Lepisosteus oculatus: one gene and its partners. The protein of the gene in region 2 purifies or fractionates together with the protein of the main gene of each other region. This does not show direct contact. Links are inferred from orthologs where the notes say so. Each region holds a gene or a part of one and is shown on either strand. Other genes may lie near its edges. The genes, in order: cops8, ddb2 and xpc.

Region 1 (8,035 bases), on a different chromosome or scaffold from region 2:
CGTGATGTTCTGTTGACATTATGACAAGTTTTACAAGGGCATCACAGCACAAATCTTTATTTTGCTACACATGAGGGAGAATATCTGCAAGGTACTGGCAGGAAAATGTACGATTATTGAGATTCACTGGATGACTTAATCACAGTTACTGGGCTCTGGTTCAAACGTATTGCATTACAGCAGTGAAGACACGTATCTGTCAGGTGGGGCTGCACATTGGTGGTATTGAAGGGGGTCCCCATTACCTGTAATGCCCTTTGAGTGGAGTGTCCAGAAAATCACTATATAAGTGTAAGCAATTATAATTATTATTAAGACCTTGGCCTGTTCTGAACTTCACTGGGCAGTAATGTGCTCAGTGAGGTGTTCCTTAACAAGTGGTAGTTTTATTTTTTGTCCGGAGTGGGAAGAAAAAAAGTTACATTAAACTGTAAGTTAGTTTTAGCCAAGAACTCTTTAATACTCAAAAAAGAATTAAGAAATACACAAATTTGCAGCTATTGACCTTCTGACATTTGCAGTGTCATATATTTTGGTATTTATACATTATGTTTGACTGATTGTAATGGTGAGAATATTTCCTTTAAATTCCTGCATTAATTAAACTGTAGTATTATACTGTTACTAATAATAATTATCATTATTGTTGTTTTTATTTTATGCACAACCTTTTATGACATCTCAAACTCTTTATACGAATGAAATTCATAGGAGCTCTTGCATACAACAGGAATAGAGATACAGTACAGTATGTATGCTCCAGTATTTAATTAAGATCCAAGTCTTTGAGTTCTGAACATATTGCAACTGAGGTGTCAGGAGAGCCAATCAGAACAGCTTTGGTCTTGTGAAAGTTCAGATAGAAAAATCTGTGAATGTCCAGCATGAAGGGGCATATACAGTAAATAAAAACTGTGGTGCTTTCATTAATGTGTGAGGGGAAAGACAGAAGACAGGAAGTTATCATTGGTGCATCCCACAGCATTTCCTTTTTTGTTCCAATGGCTGTACAACAAGAGTAACCAGGACCTTGTAGAAAAGCAAAAAAAAGATTTTGCTAATGTACTGGAACAATCTTCCACTACGTAAAAAAAGACCACACATCCGGTGCTTGATAGCATGAACTGAATGACCAGTAACAGGAGGGGATTTACTGGCTGCACTAGGAAGCTGACCTTCAATGAAGTGGTCTGACCGGCCTGAGATAAGAGTCCTCTGACTAGAGGGGCCTGTGGGACCCAGCAGATAATTTGTTACCCACGTGAAGACTGTCCTATCGCTGTATTTCAAGGTACTGCACAGATTGAAGTGTACCATTCAATCTCCAGAAAACCAAAAGTCAGATGCCAGTAATTTCATTCTTGTTAGGCAATTCGAAGTGGGAGGCAGGGAGTGAAAGGCAATGGTCTACACAAGGAAGTTACTGTACCTAAGTGATTGCATGTTTCAGGTTTATTCCGGATCTAAAGAGACATAATAGTTTATGGAGTGAAAGTACTTTGTTTTGGATTGTTGTGTCCCTTGCTGTGCTTTATTTTTATCCTTGTTCGTGTATTGTATAAGCACAGGCTATTTCTGTGTCTCATCAAAGTATGGTATATCAACATTCAAATGATGAATCCTGTCCCTTCTTTCCTGAGAACAATGCGCAATAAAAACAGACTATCTCATTTAAAAGCAAAGCGTGGGAGGTTATTTTACACTGCAATCTCCAAAGGAAAAATAGAACACAATACATGATATCTAAGCTTTGTTTTTACGGATTTCCTGTGTAATTTGAATGAAAGAAAACTTTCCCTTCTAAACAGGAACCATGTCTACACGAGATAGTAAAAGTCACATTTATTTAGCTCACTTATTTAGAATTCTTGAGCTCTTTTAGAATCTGCTCCATAAGCATTTATGTGCAGTGTTTAAATTTCTTAACTAAAGCAATTGCCTGCATACTGTACTTACAGTAATTCAGTTAGGCATTGCAAAAACAAGTTCAATTTGCAAGTTTTAAAATGTTTTTGGAATATCAAAATCCATCTCACTGAAATTAATAGATCTTTGCAGATCTCAGTATCATGTACCTGCACTCTGAAATGCGTTAATACAGAAGATAGCATCTTAGGCTGATCTAAGTATTATCTCAGAAACATTTAACTGTTTATTGGTCCAATTGGCCCATATAATTTAATTCCTTCTAATTTAATAAATTATTCTAATCATTTGCAATTTAAACATGACTACACATGAAAAACAAAAGACATGTTAGCAAGACATGTATCAACAATTCTGGTCATTACTATGTTGCAACTCGCGTAATAAATGTAATATGTGAATAAAATTAAATACAATATCACTTACTTTAACATATGATCATTTTGTATTTTAATACCTGCTTCCTTCTCATCTATTGATTTCCAGTATTTACTGGAAAATACCCCAGGTGAAAATCCTAGATACTATTTCAGCTAAATTCCTGATGTGTCGTAAAATGGTGATTTTAGTTTATGGGCTCTATTATGGTGCTTTGTAAGGTCATTGGCCATTTATGATAAAAATAAACCACATAGAATCAATATAAATAAGCTTTAAAGAAACCATAGAAGTGCCCTAAAGGGCAGTCACTTTGCCTCAATTTTCATGTTCTCAACCTGTTAAAAATATATTGAGTAATGTTATGAATTTTTTAGGTCAAGTGTGAACTGTTGCACTATGGACTCTGTTGATGGATGTTTCTTGGATTAATTCAAGAACACTGCTAAGCAATCTTAGGTATTTATTTTTTGTAAATACCAATCTTCCACATGCAGTTCTTATTAGTTTATGACAGCTCCAGACTGGGAGTTTTTATGAGCACTCAGGATGGGAAAAGCAGTATATCGGTTGTGTTATCACACTTTCTAAATAGAGTCATTTAGGCTTTTACTCCTAATTGTAAAGACAAATAGCGGCAAGGTGAAAAATCACCACAGTAATGCTCCCAAAGGGTAATACGAATTTTAATCTTGATATGGTTTTGGATGGCGTCCATTTAATAAACTACGTGTAGATCATTTAGTTGAGATTTTTTTACCGTTTTATTTTTGTTTACGATGCATTTAAATTCACGAGACCAACATATAAACATGACCCTTTTACATTCGTAATTTTTTTTGGATAATTATTGTTATTTGTATCTGATAAAACACAAAATGCCTGCAATGACGACAAACGGCTCCGAGACTCCCTGTACCGTACCAGAGATTTTCCTCAGCGGTAAGATCGGAACAGTCCCTACCTCCGTGTCCCGGCTACCACGTTAAATAAGGAAAAAAGTTGCAACGCAGTGGTTCAGTGGAGCAAAACTCGGCTCACCCTGCATGGCTCTAATAACGACCGCAGAACAAGGAGTACTGATCCACCTCCTGGAACAGGAGAGCCAAGACTATGGTTTTCAATAACATTTTCACTCCTCAGTCAATAAGCAGGACGTTATAGAGCTGGAAAACGGACTGGTCATTTATGAATTTACTCTGGGTAATATACTGGGGTGTAAATAACAAAATACAATGATGTTTATTTGCATGTTTTATTTGAGGTTTTATTTGATCTCTCCGCTTCCCTGAACAACGTGGATTGGCACTTATACATTTCTTTACACCTCTTTCGTCTGTCAAACGAAACTTTAAAATCCCACGACATTACAATATCATGACGTTGCCGTGTTGGAACTACAATATATGAAATATATATCTTCAATATAATAACGTTAGTCACATATAACACTTTCCCTCTTGATTGAAATATTTAAGATGTAAATATAAGTAGGAAAGGGTTTAGTGACCAGGTCTAGTGCAAATGATCACATTACTCCTATCCTGGAGTCCTTGCACTGGCTTCCGGTCAAATTCCGTGTAGACTTTGAAATCCTCATGCTCACCTATAAGGGTCTGCATGGCTTGGCACCTCAGTATCTGTCCGAACTATTATCGCCCTACTCCCCACCTCGCAACCTTCGCTCTTCTAATTCTGCCCTCCTTACTGTCCCCCAAGCCTGTCTACATTGTATGGGTGACAGGGCCTTCTCCTGTTATGCCCCCAAGCTCTGGAACTCTCTCCCCAAGGATATCAGAGAGTCACCTTCTCTAAACTCCTTCAAATCCAGATTCAAAACCCTCTTCTTAAAGTAAAAAACCTTTACTTAACTGGTTCCATTCTTCACCCCTCTGCTTTTCTTAGTACCACCATCCACGGTCTCCTCTATATATTTTAATTGTGTTTTATCTTGTGTATTCTTTTTATTTATTGTTGTTGTCATTCCATAAAGCGTTTTGAGAAGCCACATTTAAAGGCGCTTTATAAAATAAAGTTTATTATTATTATTATTATTATTATTATTATTATTATTATTATTATTATTATTATTATATTTTCTTACCAGATTTTACGGTGGACTATCATGCGAAGTATCAATGATCTCCTGTAAAACATTTAACAAATCAGTGCGTTTAACTTTCTTTTTTAAGGCCACAGTCCGCTTTTTTAAAGCGAAATATTTGTATGGAGTGACATCTAGTGTTTCTTATTTCATTACATTCCTGTGAAACATCGGGTTTGCTTGACCAGAGAAAACGGATACATTCTAAAATGTTGTTGCAATATAGGTTTTAATATTAGGATGTACAGAAGTATAATAAATACCTTAATTTGATTCATTATTTAATTCTGTACGAAAGTTCTCCTTCGGAAGATCTACAGTAGTTTACTGCACACGATAGTCTATTAAATACCACGCACGTAGTTTTCCCCTCCACTAGAGGTCGCTAGGAAAGTTTCTGCGCCGTAATAATATTATACGCCGCACTCTGTATCCCCGGAAAGGGAAGTGTTTTCATCTGTTACTGTTTGGGTTGGTTTTCCAAAAATGCCAGTGGCGGTGATCATGGGAGAGAATTACAACAAACTTCTGGAGCAGTGTGAAACCCAGGAGTTGGAGGTATATAGCCGATTCCCTAAAAACAAGGTTGTGTGTTCATTGCCAGCCAGGACCTGGTGTAGAGACGCCACAACCGTTCAGTAACATCCCGGACAGTGAACACAACGTGTTGCTGAAGCAGCCGGCTTGCAGTCCTCAATTACTCGGTTACCTAGGATGCTGTTGTTAGACCTCGGGTGGTTGTTTAAAGGCAGTGATCACACTAGGGAAATATTTTCCCGATGTTTCATATGTAAACAGTATTTTTGGAATCAATGGTTCGCTGGTGCTGTGTCGCCTGTTCTATTCAAGTATACACGCATGTGTTTTATTGTCGTTTCCATCTGTGTCGGGGGGGCATAGCAGATCAGATCTCTATTTATGACTAGAAGGCTGCTCCCTTGAGCCAGGTGCCTCATACGAGTTGTGCACAGCTGTAAAAGTCTGCACCAGATTTGCTGGGGAGAAACCACGAGAATAGGAGAGCTTTCAGTCTGGGGTTGGGGGGTCACATAGCCACAGCCCGCTTAATCCTGCAGAAACTGGGGTAACCACGAAACTAGAGAACCGCTACAGTTGTAACAGCAACGTTTGTACGCAATGTCTGATGGTATTCATTTTATAAGTATTGATAACTGACGAATTTACTGACAGAAATTGTTACCAGTACGAGAGTTGTTGAATAGTTTTCAGTTAGCTTGCAGGAGATTTTCTACGTGCTCTATTAATACCTTTGAGTTCTGATAGGCATTACTTTCCTTGGTACTGTAATGTGTTTGCGGTATTCTCAAAGTGAAGGACAATGCAAGTATCTCTTACAATAAAAGATCGTCTAGTTTTGTTCGTTAGCTTAATCACTGGGATTTTCAAATTCAGTAACTGAAAGCAAAAGTGATCATATCTCTTGAATATACATTACTGCTTTTTTGGATATGATGCTGAAATTCATTGTGGGGATGAATTTCTTTTCTCAATTCCAATTGCATCCAGTGAAACTCGTTTTTTTAAATGGTGGCATATTTGAATTTTTGCATGATTATGGTAAAAATTCCACATTTGCAAAGCATTCTGAAATATTTAAATAAATATTTTTGTTAAAAGTTACATTTATTATTGCCATGTATTTTCTGTATTTTGTATATAATTACAATTTAAAAAGTGCTTTGTTTTCTTTCAAGGCACCTGGTGGCATTGCGACTCCTCAAGTGTACGGGCAGCTGCTGGCCCTATATCTCCTGCACAATGACATGTGAGTTATAGCAGAGTACATGTTGTCATTCAGAATCTGCCACTCAGGATTTACTGTCATCAGAGCAGGTTGTAGGCTCAGTAAATTACATTGATGGGCTACTTTACTGTGCATTGTGTAGGCACATGGGCTACTTGTTCACAACTGTTATGGATCCTTAACTTTTCATAGTCAAAAATAAGTTTCGAAGTTACGAATCCCTTCATAATCTAATATAGGGCTCTCCCCTCTGAGTCCATCCAGACATCTTAATTGTGATGGCACAAATAGATAAATCTGTATTGTGTTGATTTGCCATGACAGATGATAAGAACAGCTAGGATTTTCTTCCATATGGAGTAGATTTTAATATTGGTAATCATAGTTACAGGTGTAATAGATTTCTTCTTCCCCCTTATCAAAAGAAAAATCATAGGAACTTAGAAACATACAAGTTTATATGTAGATAGAACTGTTTTTATTGTTTGCATGAAGGTAATTGAGTTTCATATACAAAAAAACATTTAACTTTAAGCATAACTAATATCTGCAAAGACAGACACTGGTTTATAGTCTGTGTCTTAAAGTTGTAATAGCAGAGCACAGTCAATTAATCAAAGGTAATTACCTAGTCTCATCTAATGCAGCTTTAATGTTTTTGTGATAAAACACCATGCAGCACAGAAAACTGAACCATTGAAAGCACTAACAGCAAATGGCTTTAGCATAGTTTTACATGTTTTTTTTACATATGGCACTGGTTAAGTCTGTCATGGTGAAGCTGGTGATTTACCTAAAGCAACAGAAGCATTGCACTTGTAAGCTTAGCTTTCTCGAGACCTACACGTTCATCCCTTAGGATAGGTATATAAATAAAAATTAAAAATGGGACAGAGCATCAAAGCTGTTGGTCCCAACTATTTAATTCTTGTGGGAGTCACAAAGCTTTTGTGCACCCACGTCTTTCCTGTGTGAAAAAGCCCTCAAGAGACATCAAAGCCAGTCTGTCTGGACTCACCACATGGAAAGGATATGGAAAGTACTGGTTTGCATTGTTCTGGAATTTGAGGAATGTCTGTCTGTGTTCTGTTTTTAGGAATAATGCCCGGTATCTTTGGAAGAGAATCCCACAAGCAATCAAATCTGTAAGTACTTACTAAACTTTATTTGTGATGTATTAAAGTGATTAAAAACTCAGATATATTTAACATCAGCAGAAGACACATCTAACAGATAAGATGGTTTGGGTGTTTTTTAAAAGAAATCAATGGTTCTTGTTTTTGAAACCAGTTCTAAGTCTAGTTCAAGGCAAGTTTGCTTAGAAGTAGACAATAAGCATTAACATTTTGACAGCAGTGAAGTGTAGATTGCAAAAGAAATGTGCCCACAGAGCCTCAGATTCTGTAATATCTAAGCCCTTATGTTTAATACTCCCTGGTTTGGAAAACGTTATGTACTGTTATACTTAAGGTAATTTTTTAAAATTATTTTACTTTGAATGAAACAGAATAGAAAATGAGGAAATTAAAAATCTAGCTGCTGTGTTTTTAACACCCCTTCCAAAAAAAGAAAATTGATAGTTCTTGCAGAAGATATCTCCAAACTCTCGATCATTTTTAAGAACTATAATTTTAGTGCTAAGTATAGTCTTTGAATTGTTTTTTCCTTTGAAGTATAAAGATAAAAATAAGAGATAACAGAATGCTGCACTCTTGAACTGGGATGATTGAATCATGAGGGATTTCATTATCTCTGCCACGTGTCTCTGGCCTGCAGTGGCATCGACAGCTGACATTTAGAGCTGTTGGGAAACAGCTTAAGTAACCTGTTCCTGGGCTTCAGGGACATATAGAACTTTCTGT
Region 2 (8,230 bases):
CTTTCATCAAATTATGCTCAGATTTCACCATTTCTCAGAGTATTATATTCCTATAAAACTCTCAAAAAGCAGCAGGACAGATTCCTGGTCTCAAGACTATCATATACAGACATGCAGTAAATAAAACTAGATCTCTTCACTGAAAGGATGATTAATATGAATATAAAATCCTAAAACGTATAGTCAGCCCAATGGACTTCTTCAGGCTCAGCTCAACAGGAAACTGAAGGGGAATTAGAAAAATTATTAATACAATGTGTTGCAGGTGTGAGAGCAAGCGTCCCAGCCAAATGATTGAGGCCCAAACAGGGCCCCTTCAAGAAGTGCCTGAGTAAAATTTTAATGACCTTTGCTACTAAACTAACAAGCAAACCAAGGTGGATCAAAAGGTCTCCTCTGGTTTGCAAACTTTCTCTTACAACAATCTTACTTCATGCCCTGTTCTTGGCGATAATTTAAAACTGCCACACCCCAACTAGCACTTGCAGGCATAATGATAGTTAATAAGTAAAAGTACAAATTAACACAGAGACACATTCATTTTTCAAGCTCGTATTATTAAGAAAACCTGTATTCCATGTCCAGAAGGTAAATAAAAGTACACAAAACAAGAATCTTTCACCCTAGGTGGTAACAGCTGTCCCATTTCCATTCTACAGTTAACAAAAAACCTTGCAGTAAAATCAGTTTGTAGTTTGTCCATACAAAAACTATTATATAGAATGTGCCATGCTTTCATGCTCAGTGAAACAAAGAAAATCATTTATAAACTTCCAACTGAAATTTGATAGTGTGCCCTTTAGATACTGCTACATTTCCAGTAGAGATCTCATTTTCAGAATAGCATGACCCGGAAGAAAATGGCTTAACTACACTGTTTTTCAGCGTTTAAAGCCACACCCCTCTACTCAAGACACCAATTCGTCCTCCAATTCTCACAAGCATAACAGGGATTAATTTCTGTTTGTAGTACACAACACTTTGTAACTCATGCCATTACTATAAAAAAGAACTCAGTTACTGGTAATTTTTTTACTAGCATTTTCCTAGAATTATGCACTTGGTAAACATGGAGTACCTCTTGTGCTAAGGAATGCAAAACCAAACACTTTAACCCTCTCCTGATCATTCTAAATAAGGAAGCATTTAAAATTTTGTTTACTTAAAGCAAGATAAACTTCTAAATAAAAAACAGATTATCTGAATAGGGGACAGAAGGTTTTTGGCTGCCTCCTGTTGAGTGAAAAGGTATTGTTCAGTAAGGTGGAAGAATAAATGGTATCATAAAGTAATCTTAAGCTAATTTTTAAAAAAAGCACAAATACATTTTTTGCCGTTTATCAGCATTTGAGAAATGCATGTAGTTCTAATGCATTTTGCGGCTCAACTATAGATTAACCTTAAGCCCTCTGGACTAGTCATTGTGGGCTGCAAAGTGATTATTTTTAGGGTTAATGCTAAAGAATTCACAGATGTGTCGCACTTCTGCGTTTGTTTCTAAACGCAAACTCAGTTACTAATGGAACCAGCTGTTTCCATTCCTGATTTTTTCAGGTCTTTCTCTCAGCCTTAACGTTTTGTTATAAATCAGTTCCTATTAACTGGGGAGGAAATGAAGTCTACTCGGACACCAAGCCCCTAAGAGCTAACTGGGGACTGTGAGGCCGGTAACGTTATTCCACCCAAAGTGGTCGAGGGCGCAGCTCCAAAAACCCGCAGGGGGCTGCATTCACGGCTGAGTGCAGTTTACTTGCGACGCAAAAGTGGTGTATTAGTACTCAAGTTCTTGTTTTTAACCTCAGCATCCGTGTAGGTTGTACAATACAATTACACGTATTGAAGGCACATCTTACATCCGACACTTTTGTAAATCATGCATTCCAAATAAAATGTCTGTTCTTCTTCTAGTTTTTAATACAGGTTCCATGCGTAAAAACACACACGGTAAACCGTCAGACTAAAATAATTGTATCCTTCTTTAATAACCTGATCCATTCACCAAGGGAAACAACAGCACTGACTCGGGGACCCCTATATATTTCACAACTGAATTAACCTACAAGCTCAGAAGGAGGTCACCTGTTTCGATGGGTACAACATAAGATTGTGTCATATTAAGAGAAAGCTGTCCCACTGAGAAAAAACGAAAGAGTATATTTCAATGGAAAGCCTTGCATTGTACTTAAAATGCGACTCAACTGGAAAGGGCTACTACTACCAACCCTACGCAGGGGAATCGTTTAAGCAATTACATTGTATACGCCGTCAAACATTTGTTGCATTTCGTTCGCTTATAAATTAACTGCGAAGTAACAAAAACAACACCGTTAAATTTACAAATATTCCTTTAAATCGACTTTAACAACGGGCAGATTCTGATACTTAAAGGCAAACAAAAAGCACTCGCAAAGACGGCGGAGAAAGAAACTAATACTGACACGAACAACGTTGTTTAAAATACCTAGAAACGACACCAGTACCAACCAAACCCTTTTATCTTTGCAGCGAGGGCAGAGTGGTCCGGTTTTCAACAGTTTACGCGGAACCCACCGGTCTCGTCTTCCTCTCCGGAGCCCAGGTTGGATTTCAATGAAAAGGGATACACCGGAGGAAAGCGCGGTGCACGCTGTGCTCCCAAGCGAGGTCACTAGACTACAGTTCAGCACCCCACGCAAACAAATCCACTATTTCCATACTGACTGCGAGCAAAAGAAAAAAATAAAACACATCTATGGGACCGTTAGAGAACACTTCGCATTCAGTAGTTTCGTGCAAATATTCGTCACTTGATGACAAGCTGAAAAGAAGTAATGAGTGACGACTTCACAAATCAACGGTCCTATTGCATCTGGACTATAATTGAGCCCTATGAAACTGTACTCCACAGACATCTATTGACGCTATTGGAATGTAAATGGTTTTTAAACCTTCCACAGGCGTGCAACGCCGTACTTTATTTTATATATATATATACGAAGGTGGGAGATCCGGCTCAAATAATAATAAAAAAAAAACGTTTTACACTTCACATGGAGCATTTGAGCAACATCTCATTGTGACATTTCTCTCTGATTCTTACCTGTTGCGACTTCAGTTTATTTCCAGAGAATGCCTATTTTGTTGCAAAACACAGATAAACGGAAAATCCGCACTTCGCGTTTAAAAAGTCCTCAGTGCATTTATGAGAGTAAACGGTAACACCCCTCCGACTTTAACCAGACCTGCGGGTTTTTCCCCCCCTCAGTTACAAGCTCCTATTACCGTAGTTGATGCGCGGTTACAGCAGGACTGCAGACAAACACTTCGCCGCCATAGAGCAGAAAAGAAGAGGAATTTTCTTTGGGAATTACTCGACCGGCAAGGCCAATTTCGAGGCACAATGACAACGAGAAGTTCAAAAACCGAGCAGAAATGAAGAAAATATCGAACATATAATTGTTTGGGTATTTTTCCTCAGGCAGGTTAAAAGACAACTTGTCTTCTCTTCTCTTCTGGAAGGGTCTTCTGGGGTGTAATTGGATCCTGTGGTTCCGCTCTACGCATTAATCCAATTACTGGATTTAACCCTATAGGTGCCGATGCTAATTGTGAAGAGGATAATGCCACTGTTTTATCGATTCAGAATTTTGAATGATTAGGCATCGTTTTGTATATTGCATCACAAGAGCTTCTTATTTTCTGAATATAGTCCAGCTGGAAAAGGTGTTCCGCGGGAACATCCCGGAGACGTACTCAATTTAATGCCACGGAGGATTTTCCGCTCAGGTTCAATATTAAGCAGTCTCTGTACTTTAGAACTTAATTTTCTAAAATAAATGACATCATTAAGAAAAACAGCACTGCAGAGTGTCAGTAATTTACAACGCCTAAAAGTCAAACTGTGAATGGTCAGCAAAGATGGGAATTAAAGAAATGTTACACACTGCAGGAGACCCTTTGACCCAGCTGGTTTGGTAGTTAGTAGGTAATTAATCTGAGAGTCTCATTCTTCTGTTTCAGAGAGAGAAGCATACTTTTCAAGGTAGCTGAAGGGGAATAGCTCATCTTTCTGTTCCTGAATGAGTTTTAAGTGCATTTTCCTGCTGACATAGATAATACCTTACTTTCAGTCCTCTTCGGTGTGCTCATAAATCAGTGGTTCCCTATCCTGGTGCTGATGACCAACACACCTGTTTGTTTTTGTTCCAGCTGAGCCCTCAGTGACACAATTGAACCCTGTAATAGAACTGCTTCTGACTGCTTATTGTCTTAATTAAAAAAAAACATAGAAAATGCATAAGGATGAAAGTACCAAAAATGGCATCTACTTCCAAGGTCAAGATAGAAGCTATCAGACTGGACTATTTATAGATGAGGAGTGGAATGATTTATGACAAAATAATTGATTTGGTGATCTGTCTCTTTCAGGTGTTTATCAAACACCCTTACACAAATAGCCCTCAATCATTTTTGGATTTATTCTACAATATTACCAGTGTGAGTTCAAACTTTTAAGGCTTTAAGGCTACCTACAAAAAACAGTGGACTGGACTTTCCTAGAGTTTCAGTTTCCAGGCACCCAGGATTCATATTTCTGTATTGTCTTTTGGAATGATCTTAACGGCCCGGTTGTCTTTAAGTCTACGTGGTTCTAATTTGAATCAATCTGCTCCACAAATATTGCATACAACCTTGATCATATATATCAGCACCATCATGTGTGAACTTCAGCTACCTGAGTCTTCAGTCTACGCTTTGATTGTCTAATGTCCCTGAATATCGATGATAATTCCGATCAATCTGATCTTCCCTAACACACCTGAAAACTGGTGATATGTGATATATTTTTAAACGTAGTACTCACAATAACCTTGATTTGTCTTAAAACCTTTACGAAATTGGCCAAAATGTGCATAATGATTAGTAGACAATTGTCGGAAAGTTGTCTTCCGCTGAAAGAAAAAAAGGGGGACGGAAAAGTGGATGTATTAGTACTGCCACCTGCTGGATTAACAAAGAGAAAATGTTACAAAACAACCCGGTCGTGACGTCATTAAAAACAAAATCGATCGTGTCTGCGTCCATGTGTTAGGCAAATGAGCGCTTAGTATCGATCACCCTCTAAAAAATCACCATAAAGAACCTCATTCAAGCGTCTTTTACAAAGGATTAGGTGACGTATGACTGCACGGGCTTTGTTTTAAGATGGGAATTTTGCTGTTCGTAATTTTATTTAATGATGGTGTTACGAAACTATAGGAGGGGAAGTAGAACCCAAATTGCTTGTTAAAAATAGAAGTGCATGTGTTTTTTTTAAACATCGAAAAGCTTGCAGTGCTTTTGAATTGTTATTGTTGTCTAAGAATGCTTTGAGAGGCTAAATGCATACATTTCTTCTGCATTCCTGCACTTTTTGTAAGAGCAACTAGTCCCTTATGTTAAAGCTGGATATCTCCCGTATTCTCACGTTATTGCAAAGTTATGTTCTTCAGTCAGATACCAGGAAAATGCTAAGCGTTTAGTTAAACGAGGTCTAGTAGTATTTTGTAGGAATACATTACACAGAGCACTGACTTGAGTGTGAACTTATTTAACCCTTCATGCACAGAAATAGTTTTCCTGTTCCTTTTTATCCGACACACCAGGTGAACAGCACAAGGAAAGCGATGGCCAAAAAGAAAGTTCTCCTGGACAGCACGGTGCCCAAACGCCAAAAGGAAAGGCCATCCACCTCTCGGAGCAAACGAGCAGAGCCTTCGGAAGAACCCCTCTCAAGAAAGCTGAAGAAGAAAAAGGAAGGCGTTCCGGGGAAAGCAGGTGTGTGACTGGAGCTCATGGCTTTGTCTCAAGTTGAATTTCCCCAAGCAGGGACGGTTCAGCAATAAGGCATGCCTGCCCAGCTCCCCAACAAGTAGTGGGCGGAATGAGACTGCGGCGCCAGCGGTTCCCCTCTGAGTTGCTGCTCCATCTGCTGGTGCTTGTGCTCAAGCAATCAGTACCAGAAGACAAGGGAATGTTACTTAAAAAACGATGTGCATGGTTGTTACAAAGCGACCTTTTCCACTGCTCCTTACTGTCGTTTCCTCTGACTTTATGGAATTAGCCAGAGGATATTCCTGTACATGCGGTCTCTTCGATTTATTTACACTTTAAATGACTTTGGTTTTAGAAATGTAAGAATTACCATAAACAGCCAGTGGGATTTGACTAATGTCATGTACTGAAAAAAGTAAAATCCTGGCTAATTCTTTACAAAGTTCGAATAACTCAAACTTGTAGTGGTATGAGAGTATTGCTTTGATTTTGCTTTTCGATTGTTTTTTTTTAACTTCTAAATTTCAGTGGGACATTTAAAAAAGACAGGTTTCCCCAGGTTTAACCCCGATAATGGTTATGTTTAGTGGTAGGTTTGGCGAAAATGATGGTTTTTGTAATCATTCTGGTCTTGTTCTTATTTCAGAAGCAAGATCTGAACTCCAGAATAACAGAGAGAGTGTGGGGTTTCAGAAGGCGGCCAGGCAGAACAGTATTGTCCATTATGTGTATAAACACTCACTGGGTCAGAACATCCAGTCACAGATGCGCCAGGTTTGAATTTCTTTTTAGAGCTGCCGTCTAAAGAACGTTTTTTTTCCCCTTTTTGTCAGAAAGATAAAATGATTTTGTAAGGTATAGCAGAATAATGGTAACTCTCTTAGTGATTTTATCAAGCCATGACCGCTCCCTGTTACACAAACATTTGACATATAGTCAGTCACATACGGAGCGAAAAAGAAAAAAAAAAGTGTGCTGTTTCTGTCTCCGGACATCGGAGTTGTATCTTAAGAACACACATTTGAAGCGTGCTTGTGAGAAATAACTGCACTGCCTGTGCCATCCCTCTGTAAATCTGGCCTCTTTTCTTGTCTGGAAGACCGATGTGGCTCTCCTGTCTCTCCAGTGCCTACAACAGCCATTCCTGCGCTTTCTGAACTCCTACAGTCTCTTCCATGCAGCCAGCCCATTCGATCGCAGGGTGACGTGCCTGGAGTGGCACCCAACGTGCCCCAGCACCCTGGCAGTAGGCTCCAAGGGGGGGGACATAGTGTTGTTGGACTACGAAATGTCAAAGAATACCAAGTTCATCCAAGGGGTGAGTGGTTTCTCTCCAGGCCTGGCAGGTATATACAGTATGCTGTGGTTTTGTCTGGGTGTGAATTCCATTCCAAGAATGTAGTTAGCACACCGTGATCAGTGTCCTGAGATATTTTCCTTTTGTGTTTTTTTTTATATTTGTTTAGATGGGAGCTGGGGGCTCCATAACAGACATGAAGTTTAACCCTTTCAATCCCAGTCAGCTGTTTACATCGTCTGTCGGAGGCACGACCTCTCTGCAGGATTTTACAGGCAACACTATTAAAGTTTTTGCCAGCACTCATCAGTGGGAGTAAGAAAGTTTTGATGCAGTTTTTTAACTTATTGTTGACTTTTAAAAATGCCGAAGGGCAAAACTAGACACTTGTACAGTGAATCTTAGTATAGTTTAATGGTGTGTCATGACTTACTATATATTTAATTATTGCCTCAGATCCTTTAAGTCTGCTGTAAGATTTTGTTTTTCAATGGAGGTAGATGCTTCTGAAAATACACTAACACTCTGGGAAGCAGCTACGTAATACTCCAGCTTCTCCAGCTGTTTTGGTAAATCTTTGCTATTTTATGGAATTCTATGGTCATTTTTTCATAGCTGAAGCAGAAATAAAAAATAAATCAAGCATCAGCAAGTCCTGTCTGGCCATGGTAAAGCAGAAATATTCTTAGTATTCATGTCAATTGTGAGCACTGCAGATCTTTAGCTATATTCAGATTTCTGACCAATTTCCTTATTCTTTCCAAAGCAGTGAACTGAAATACACAGTCCAGCTGAGCTGGTCTTTTGTTTTCCTGTGTGGCATTTACATTGAACCTAAGTAATGCCATGATGAACCAGTTTTTAGAAGCGCTACTGAACTTGAAAATCCATGTTTTTTTAATGGCAGAAATAAAGAGAATGATGCATAAAAGTAAGGTTCTGTTTGATTAGAGTGATGTCATTTTAATTCAGTCTCTAGCCATGTGAATGATTGTCTTTTAAGACATGTCTAAGCACTTACGTATTTTAAAAGTTGTTCATTTATCATCAGTGTATCCCTAGTATGTCATAAATGGAGAATCAGTTTTAATACTTACAGACCTACTCTTCACTATTCCAGGATAAATATTTAAGTTTAGA
Region 3 (7,614 bases), on a different chromosome or scaffold from region 2:
GCACATCCTTGGTGAAGCGGTTCATCATCCGGCGAAGGTACGTCTCAAACTCTGCCTTTCTTCTCTCCCTGCCAATGCAGCACCACATCTGTCACTAACACATCAACTTACAGGGACACAGCAATGCACATACACAGAAATAGAATAACTTTACAACAAGCGATTAATTACATTTGTAATTGTACAATCAAATGATTGTGAAAGCATCATTCAGAAAGATGGTCCAGGTGTGCCAGTAACCAACTGCCCCTCCTCCATGCCAACTTATTTCCAAAGAGGCCAAATCAAATATTTTTCACCAAAAATACATACAGTAAGTGCTGCCTGCAATTTGTATTGAAAGTGTTAAGTTGTCTGTACATTATGTACTTTCATTCCAACATCCACTATAAAATATTTACTTTTTTTAGCTTAAAAAAAAATCCTTTTTCAAATGTGAACCTATACCCTTCAGAAGCAAGAGATACTGTAAAATCATGCTTTGTGGCACACTTTTATTACTGTTGTGTAATTGAGGGTAGTGCTGTATAAATGTTTGTCCATGCAGCTCTAGAGTTGTAACAGGCTCTGCTTCTTGCCTTCTCTGTCTCTTCTTGGCTTGCTCAGGGGTTTCAATCTCTATCTCCACAGGCTGAGAGGGCAGAGCTGGCTCTGAGGGGCCCAGGGAAGAACACATAGGCTCATTGAGTTCTGTGAAGAAAGTTCAGAGAAACAAGGACTTCAGCCTGGAAATTGCTACAGACTTACACAAGGAGACATCGCTTATGGTTAAGGGTCTCCTTACAGGTAATGTAGAGATTGTCCGGAGCACTAGTACTATATTTTACTCAAAATGAGCTGATCCAACGAATTTGGTTAGAATTGTTTCCACTTAAAATATAACAGAGATAAAAGTAGTGTATCCCATTTAGGCCAGAAACCCATTTGATTCAATTATTTCAAATATACCACAGGGTCCAACAGGGTCTTCCACTTGGTCAAACAGACCCACAAGAATTCAGGAGAAGGGCAATTTCACCAGGAAATGAAATGTATCCATACTGTATATGCTCTGCAAACTAAAGTCTAACATTAGATTTTCAAGCATGACATTGTCATTCTGAGGTTTGCAGAACTTATAGGCAGCTCTTATAAGACCTAGATACACATAAGCAATGACTTTAACACTTCAAACCAAATAATATATACTGTACTGCCTCACAGTCTCCATTGAAGACTACAGTATATCATATAGGTAGCTGTGTCACCATGTGTAGGCTGCAACGGAACAAGTAAACGTTCATTCCATGCTGAAAAAAGAAGAAAAGAAACACAACGTTGTTTCTTTTGTGGAGCCTTCTTCAGGTGTCATATCCCGATGAAGGCTGAAACGTTCCGTTTCTTTTCTTCTCTTTTCAGCATGAAATAAACCTTTACTTGTCCATTTGTAGTATATGATACCTGCTCCTTTGCAACCCTCAGAGCTGCCCAGTACACGTTAATCCACTTAAAAATAAAAAAAGTGAAAAAATAAAAAATACATGCTGTTTGGCTTACCTTCAACATCTTCCCAGTCCTCATCACTCTCCTCGTCTTCGTCCGTCTCCTCTTTCTTCACCACCACCGCGGCTCCCTCACGACCCCAGCCAGCCTGACTGCTGCCTTCCTCCTGTCTGGGCTGCACGTGCCTGCTCGCCGGGACAAGTCGAATCATATCAGTCATATCCCAGACCACTCCTTCACGCGGCCAAGCACTGTGGGTGTGTCTTAAAGAGATTTTAAAGACTGGCAGACAGCACTTCTACTCCTCATTCTGTACACCCAGCTTGAATAGTACGGCTTGCTTGCAGTACACCGAAAAGCTAGGCACTCCTCCTCCAAGATGACAAACCTCAGGAGTGTTAACAAGCCACCATTCCATTCTCATAGCTGTATGCCAAGAGTCATTAAAATGTCAACTGGGAACGACTCCCTGTTGAGAGATACTGAGCAACTCGGACTTTTACCGATTTTTTTCATCATCATCATCTTCTTCTTTTATATGTGCAGGCTCTTCTTTGACTCCCTTGGTCGCTCTGTGGCGTTTACTCGTCGCTTTTGAAGTTTTAGCAGCAGCCCCAGGCACTTTTTTACAGTTGGTCGCGCTTTTCTTTGCGGCTACTGCCTTCGGAGCATCACCTTTAGGGCGCCCATCCTCTGAATCAAAAGAAGAGTTGTGTGACGAAATAAGACCCAGGTCTTTGGTACTACACGTAACTGTTCGCGTACCCACGTTTTCATAATCTGAAGTCATGAATGAGAAGAGTGCTTATATTTGCATTTAGGTCGGGAGGGGGTTGCTTCTGCAACGCAAAACATTTTAAAACATCAAAACCCCACCACCTGCAGGATGTGCTGCAAACATCTCAACGGTATATTTTCGGACTCCACGGAAACCACATATTGTATTTTATATTACTACAATTCCTGGCCATGTTATTTACGTTAATGTTAATTATCAGTTTCATGACGAACAAAAACAATAGCCGCTGTTTAAACTCACTGATTAGAAACAAAAAAAAAACTGATTTTAATTCAAGATACCGAGATACACACGATTGTTTTAACAAAATCAACTGTTCATGCATTTTTTATATATGTAAAACGTTACCGGTATGCACAATAGATTACAGAATAGCACAGCACAGAAGAATCACTACCATGCTAACTTACCTGTAATCTTTTTTGCTGATTTTTTAACAGTCTCTTGCTCTTTCCCCTTTGTGACCTGCTTACATTTCTTGCTATCTTTTTTTGCGGCGGCATCAACTGACCCTTTTCGCTTGTTGGCCATGCTCGTAACAGGCTGCAGGAACTTTAGTTGCAACACAAATAAAAACATGCACGACCGACGTTACTCGAATGAACTTCGGTTTCCACCGTGCGCACACTCCATAGAGTTTAACTTATGTAACCTCTTTCATTTTGCAGGAAGTTCCCCCAGACTCTTGTTGTACAATGCCTGAAGCTTTCATAACATTCTCCGTATCATTTGTTGTTATTCTCCCTGCAGACCAGTTTCAGAAGTGACGTCGAACGTCAACTTCCGGCCAATAACATGTCCGCCATCGGGGTGCTGATGTAGCTGAATGTTGTTAGCTACACGTGGTTGTACCTGACTTGAATATACATGTTTACATGGAATGATATTTCTTCGATGTTTTTGCTTACTTCGACAATGATATTCAGTTTATGCAATGCAAAAACTTGAATTAGCGAAAGATACATTATCAATTCTTTCCGAAAGACCCCTTCGTTTAATATACAGTATATATGCAGAGTTGCTCAAATGAGTCCTTTTGCATGTGCATAGATTTACTTTTCGTCATCAGCCCAGGCTGTAAAACGAAGCTGCACGTGTGTAGATATGCATATCATGCACTACAAAATATTTTGGAGAAAGTTAAAATATATTTTTACTTCTCAGTCAAGAACTTCGTATTTATTTTCATGAGAAATAACATGATTGATGAGTACAATTTTTTTTATTTTGGATAATTCCTTGTAAACATTTACTCACGTTAACAAGGTACATTTAATATTCAACCTACTTCTGATTTCAAAGTGACCTTTTCAAGTGTTTTGGGACAGTTTCACTTCAAGTGAAATTCTCAGTGTAAATGTCAGTACGCATGCATGAAGCAGCTACCCATTGAGCTCACTAAAGTTAATAATTTCAGAAGCCTTTGCTGTAGTTGTTGGAATACCAACCGTCTCTCGACGACTGGAGTTGTCTAACACTGTATTTTGGTTTTCTATTTTATTTTAAGGAACACTAGGTGGAGCCACAGGCAAATATTTTGCTTGGTAATATTTCCTTCTCCTAATACGGGTCTGCTAACTGGGTGAAGGTGGTACTGTACTGTATATGTTCACAAGAATTTATAGAATGAACTGATGTAAACCCAGAAGCTGACCTACGAAATTAAAAAAACAACAACTTTACTCTGGTAATAAGGTCAGTAAATTTGATCTTTTTGGTAAAATATATATTTGCTTACTCTTTTTCTTTTCATTTACAGCACTAAAGTAATGGTACAGTATTTGCAATTAAAGTACTTAATGTGTTTTTCGATTATTTACAATTATGTTATGCGACTCTGTATATAACCCAATCTAAAAAAAATCTATACTGTGCCAAAATGCTAAAACTGTCTAAAGCATTACATTTTCTTCAAAAGAGAAATTAATTCGTATGTATTGAATTGTTTTATGTTCTGTCTAATTCTGTGTTATTGTTTGGCTTTTTAATCAGGCTGTAGAGTATCTCGCAATTCAGCCACGACAGCTTCTTTAGGTGGTTGTGAAGCCAGCTGGGAAGGTGTTCCTTGCAGCATTCTCTGAAGCTCACCGATGAAGCGCTATGCTCTGTAGCAGGGGTGAAAGAATACCAGGCTTTTCGGTGCAGGTTTCTGGCTCCCATTTTTCAATGCATGAATTAAGGATTATCAATCAAGCATGCAAAGGATTGGTTGTACCAGATCCTAAATTTGAAGGTCTGGTGTTTGCCAGTCCCTACTCTACTCCTGTGTAATACAGATAGACAATCAAGTAAGCATTGTGAAATTGTAATAGAAGCTCTTTGTTCTGTAATAGCTAGGCGGGAAAAACATCATAAGATATGGAACAGGTATAATTTTTAAACGAGACAACTATCTACAGATGATCTGTAATCATTTTGATTCATGCAGTTTTTCAAGTGTTGTTGCATTTGCTCTTTTATTTGCACATTGTTCAGCTTTTTCCTTCATTGACCTCAGTTTCAGTGTGTGGCACCCTTTCCTGTATGAGTCCAATATCCCTCAAAAGCCCACATCACACAGAGCCATTTACTGTATGTTTTGGCACGGTCATCTTGCACGCTGGTTCTGAGCCGGCACTTGCTTTGAATATTCAAATCTTTCACAGCAGATGTCCTAGTTTGAATAGGATACATCTCTGAGAGAGAAAAAATAAATGAAGCATAGTTGATTAATGAAAACATAAGTTCTGGCAATACACATATTAACAGTTCTGCAGCAGGTCGGTACCACCTCTTCACAACATAATGTAGGTATTTCATTATAGAATATTGGTACAAGCACGTCTAAGCTCATGTTTATGTCTCATGTCATACTGTCCTTTATCTGATTTTCTGGTGCAGTTTTTCTTGTTTTCTTTGAAGATCAGCCAGTTTCTCTGTTTTCAGTCGCTGCCTTTGCTGAATTAAAATCACCATGAGACCACGAAATGACATAATTCTTCCCATGTGACCGCCTTTTTCTTCTCCTTGCAAATCCAGTTCCAGACTGTGACGAGATACCTGTTCCATTGCTGTGCAGCGCATTTTTCCCACAGTGAAATGTTGGATCTGCACTATTTGTTCTAACTGGAGATGGGGGAGGGGATTAATTCCACCCCAGCACAGAACATGCTTGAAGTTTACATTTTAAAGTAAATAAGAAAACATACGTGGAAGGTTTAGTTTTGTGGCTACACCAACAAAAGAACACAAAGATACAAGATTATATAAGCTGGTGGACTTTATTTCACACATTATCTCACAGTTTAGAATTACATAAAATGTACAACAGGACAAAACATGGACTTGATCAATCTCCCTGATAGTGTCTTTCCTTTAACCATACACAAAAACATGAAAAAGGAACAGAACATGTAAAAGAATTAGACAAAAATCTCACTAAGTGCTCCCAGTTTACACCTCATCCTAAATTAACCCATTTATGTGTCTCCAGCACTGTCATTTTATACATATATACTGTAACAATATGGTGTTTACAAAATTGAGGGTACTAAGAGATGTATACAAACATTGAAGTAGACAGAAGTTAATTGAAGAGATACATCTCCTGTGTCCTTCAAAAACAGATGTAAAACTTTATTGCCTTAGTTACAGGACCTGCTGTTCTGATTGCTGTGTTTTGAACTTTTTAGAATAGCAAGATGTCGGGATTCTAACCAGCAGTCTTCCACTTGTGTAACAACCCTGCTCTGAGAGGTTGGATTTTGAATGTCTAGAAACCTTCACATTATGTTAAACTGATTAGATTAATCATTCTGATCTTTGCAGCAGGGTTAGATTACATATGGTAAATGAAAAGACATTTAATGGAAGATTAATTGAATGTCTTAGTTTTACTTCATTTCAAAACTTGCACAAAATGACCACTTTAATAAGTGAAAATCATGAACTAGGAAGGACTCTCATTTGCACCGGAAAGTGTTTCCTTTAAAGAAAGACTATATTCATCTCAAGCAATGTGTAACATCCAGATATGTAACACTTTACTTTGTAACTACAACAAGATCTGTGGCCTCTTCCGAGGGTGACTTTTTCATTTGAAGCCAATGACAAAACCCAGTTTGGTACAGCAAAGACAGCATCTGTCCTGTCCCATCAACATGTGGATACTGGTATGCTCTGAGGCAAACAGGATAAGAAAAAGGGAACTAATTCTGAACACTTTTCAGCACCTACTGCTTTTGTACTTATGGCACAATACGTTGTTTCTTTCTGTAAAGAAACACTCAGAAAAGTGATTGATAGTTAATAGTTGGTACTTGCATTTATACACTACTTTTTTAAAGGATTGTCACAAACCACACGTAAGCACTTCTCACCGTTAACATCCATGCACTAATTAATCAATTATCTTTCTACACACTCTTCCCTCCATCTTCCGTATTTACAGTATACCCTCTCACTCCACTCAGTCTCTGCTCACTAATGAGGTTGCCTCTTCCGAGCTCAACCCTCGCTTTACGTAGTTCGGGAAAGAAATACTTTAAACCAAATTGTCTTTTGGCTCTCGAAACCCTAGCTCAATCCTTTGATTACGCCATTGCTTCATGTTTTTAGGATTTGGTTACTTTTGGAACTTTCCGGAACCTTTCCTGGATTAATCTACCACAGGCTGGCATAGGGAGTGGCTAACCAGCCTCTTTGCTGCAACTCCTGATAGGGATCCCCAAAGTATATTTTCTAAAATCAAGAGAAGTGACCCCCTCTGTCCCCCACTGAGGTGCAGTACCCACAAGGGTGAAGTGTGGCAGCCATTGTGAGCCAGCAGCCCCATTATACAGCAGATAAGACAGCGCAGTGAAAAATTGCTTTATTAATTGAATCTGGGGGAGAGAGGAGACATTTACTTGGTCAGATTGTTCAAGCCCAGACTGGAAAGTAACAAAGACACTTGTATTTTCACCAACAGCACCATGAGGCCTTTAATCAAAGGACCACATTTTAGCATCTTATTTGAAGGATGGCACTTATTACAGTTCCCTTCTTGGTCACCATACTGGGAATTTGGTGTGATGTAAATGTCTCACAGTTCCTTATTGCTTCCTGTTGTCAGACCTATTTTCATAGTAAAGTGACTCTATAATTCTCTGTTGTTCCTATTTTAAATATTATCTGCTACAGTAATGAACTTGTTCAATAATAAAACCTAAAGCTAGGATTATGTGTGCAGCTGGCCAGGAAATAAAATAGGGAAATAAGAGATGCAAAATACTTTCAGCACAAATAGGGCAAAAACACAAAAAACTTTAAAAAACGCATTCTTATTTACTCAAAGAAACCCAAAAGAGATATAT

The links.
Region 1: the proteins of ddb2 (region 2) and cops8 purify together in Homo sapiens (affinity purification with mass spectrometry; 6 studies listed by BioGRID and IntAct, counting the BioPlex papers as one, with this or other methods). This does not show direct contact. The link is inferred for Lepisosteus oculatus from reciprocal best matches to the Homo sapiens genes DDB2 and COPS8.
Region 3: the proteins of ddb2 (region 2) and xpc purify together in Homo sapiens (affinity purification with western blotting; 5 studies listed by BioGRID and IntAct, with this or other methods). This does not show direct contact. The link is inferred for Lepisosteus oculatus from reciprocal best matches to the Homo sapiens genes DDB2 and XPC.

The regions. Positions count from the first base shown.
Region 1 is NC_090707.1:9,847,772-9,855,806, forward strand, and holds the start of cops8 (COP9 signalosome complex subunit 8), read left to right. Parts: upstream 1-4,846; 5' UTR 4,847-4,894; coding exon 4,895-4,966; intron 4,967-6,123; coding exon 6,124-6,194; intron 6,195-7,269; coding exon 7,270-7,318; intron 7,319-8,035. UniProt on the Homo sapiens protein: Component of the COP9 signalosome complex (CSN), a complex involved in various cellular and developmental processes.
Region 2 is NC_090716.1:4,973,668-4,981,897, reverse strand, and holds the start of ddb2 (DNA damage-binding protein 2), read left to right. Parts: upstream 1-4,985; 5' UTR 4,986-5,579; coding exon 5,580-5,796; intron 5,797-6,439; coding exon 6,440-6,567; intron 6,568-6,919; coding exon 6,920-7,111; intron 7,112-7,259; coding exon of another isoform or gene 7,260-7,405; intron 7,406-8,230.
Region 3 is NC_090699.1:55,825,638-55,833,251, forward strand, and holds the start of xpc (DNA repair protein complementing XP-C cells), read right to left. Parts: upstream 3,031-7,614; 5' UTR 2,861-3,030; coding exon 2,692-2,860; intron 2,176-2,691; coding exon 1,986-2,175; intron 1,668-1,985; coding exon 1,537-1,667; intron 691-1,536; coding exon 579-690; intron 69-578; coding exon 1-68. UniProt on the Homo sapiens protein: Involved in global genome nucleotide excision repair (GG-NER) by acting as damage sensing and DNA-binding factor component of the XPC complex. Has only a low DNA repair activity by itself which is stimulated by RAD23B and RAD23A.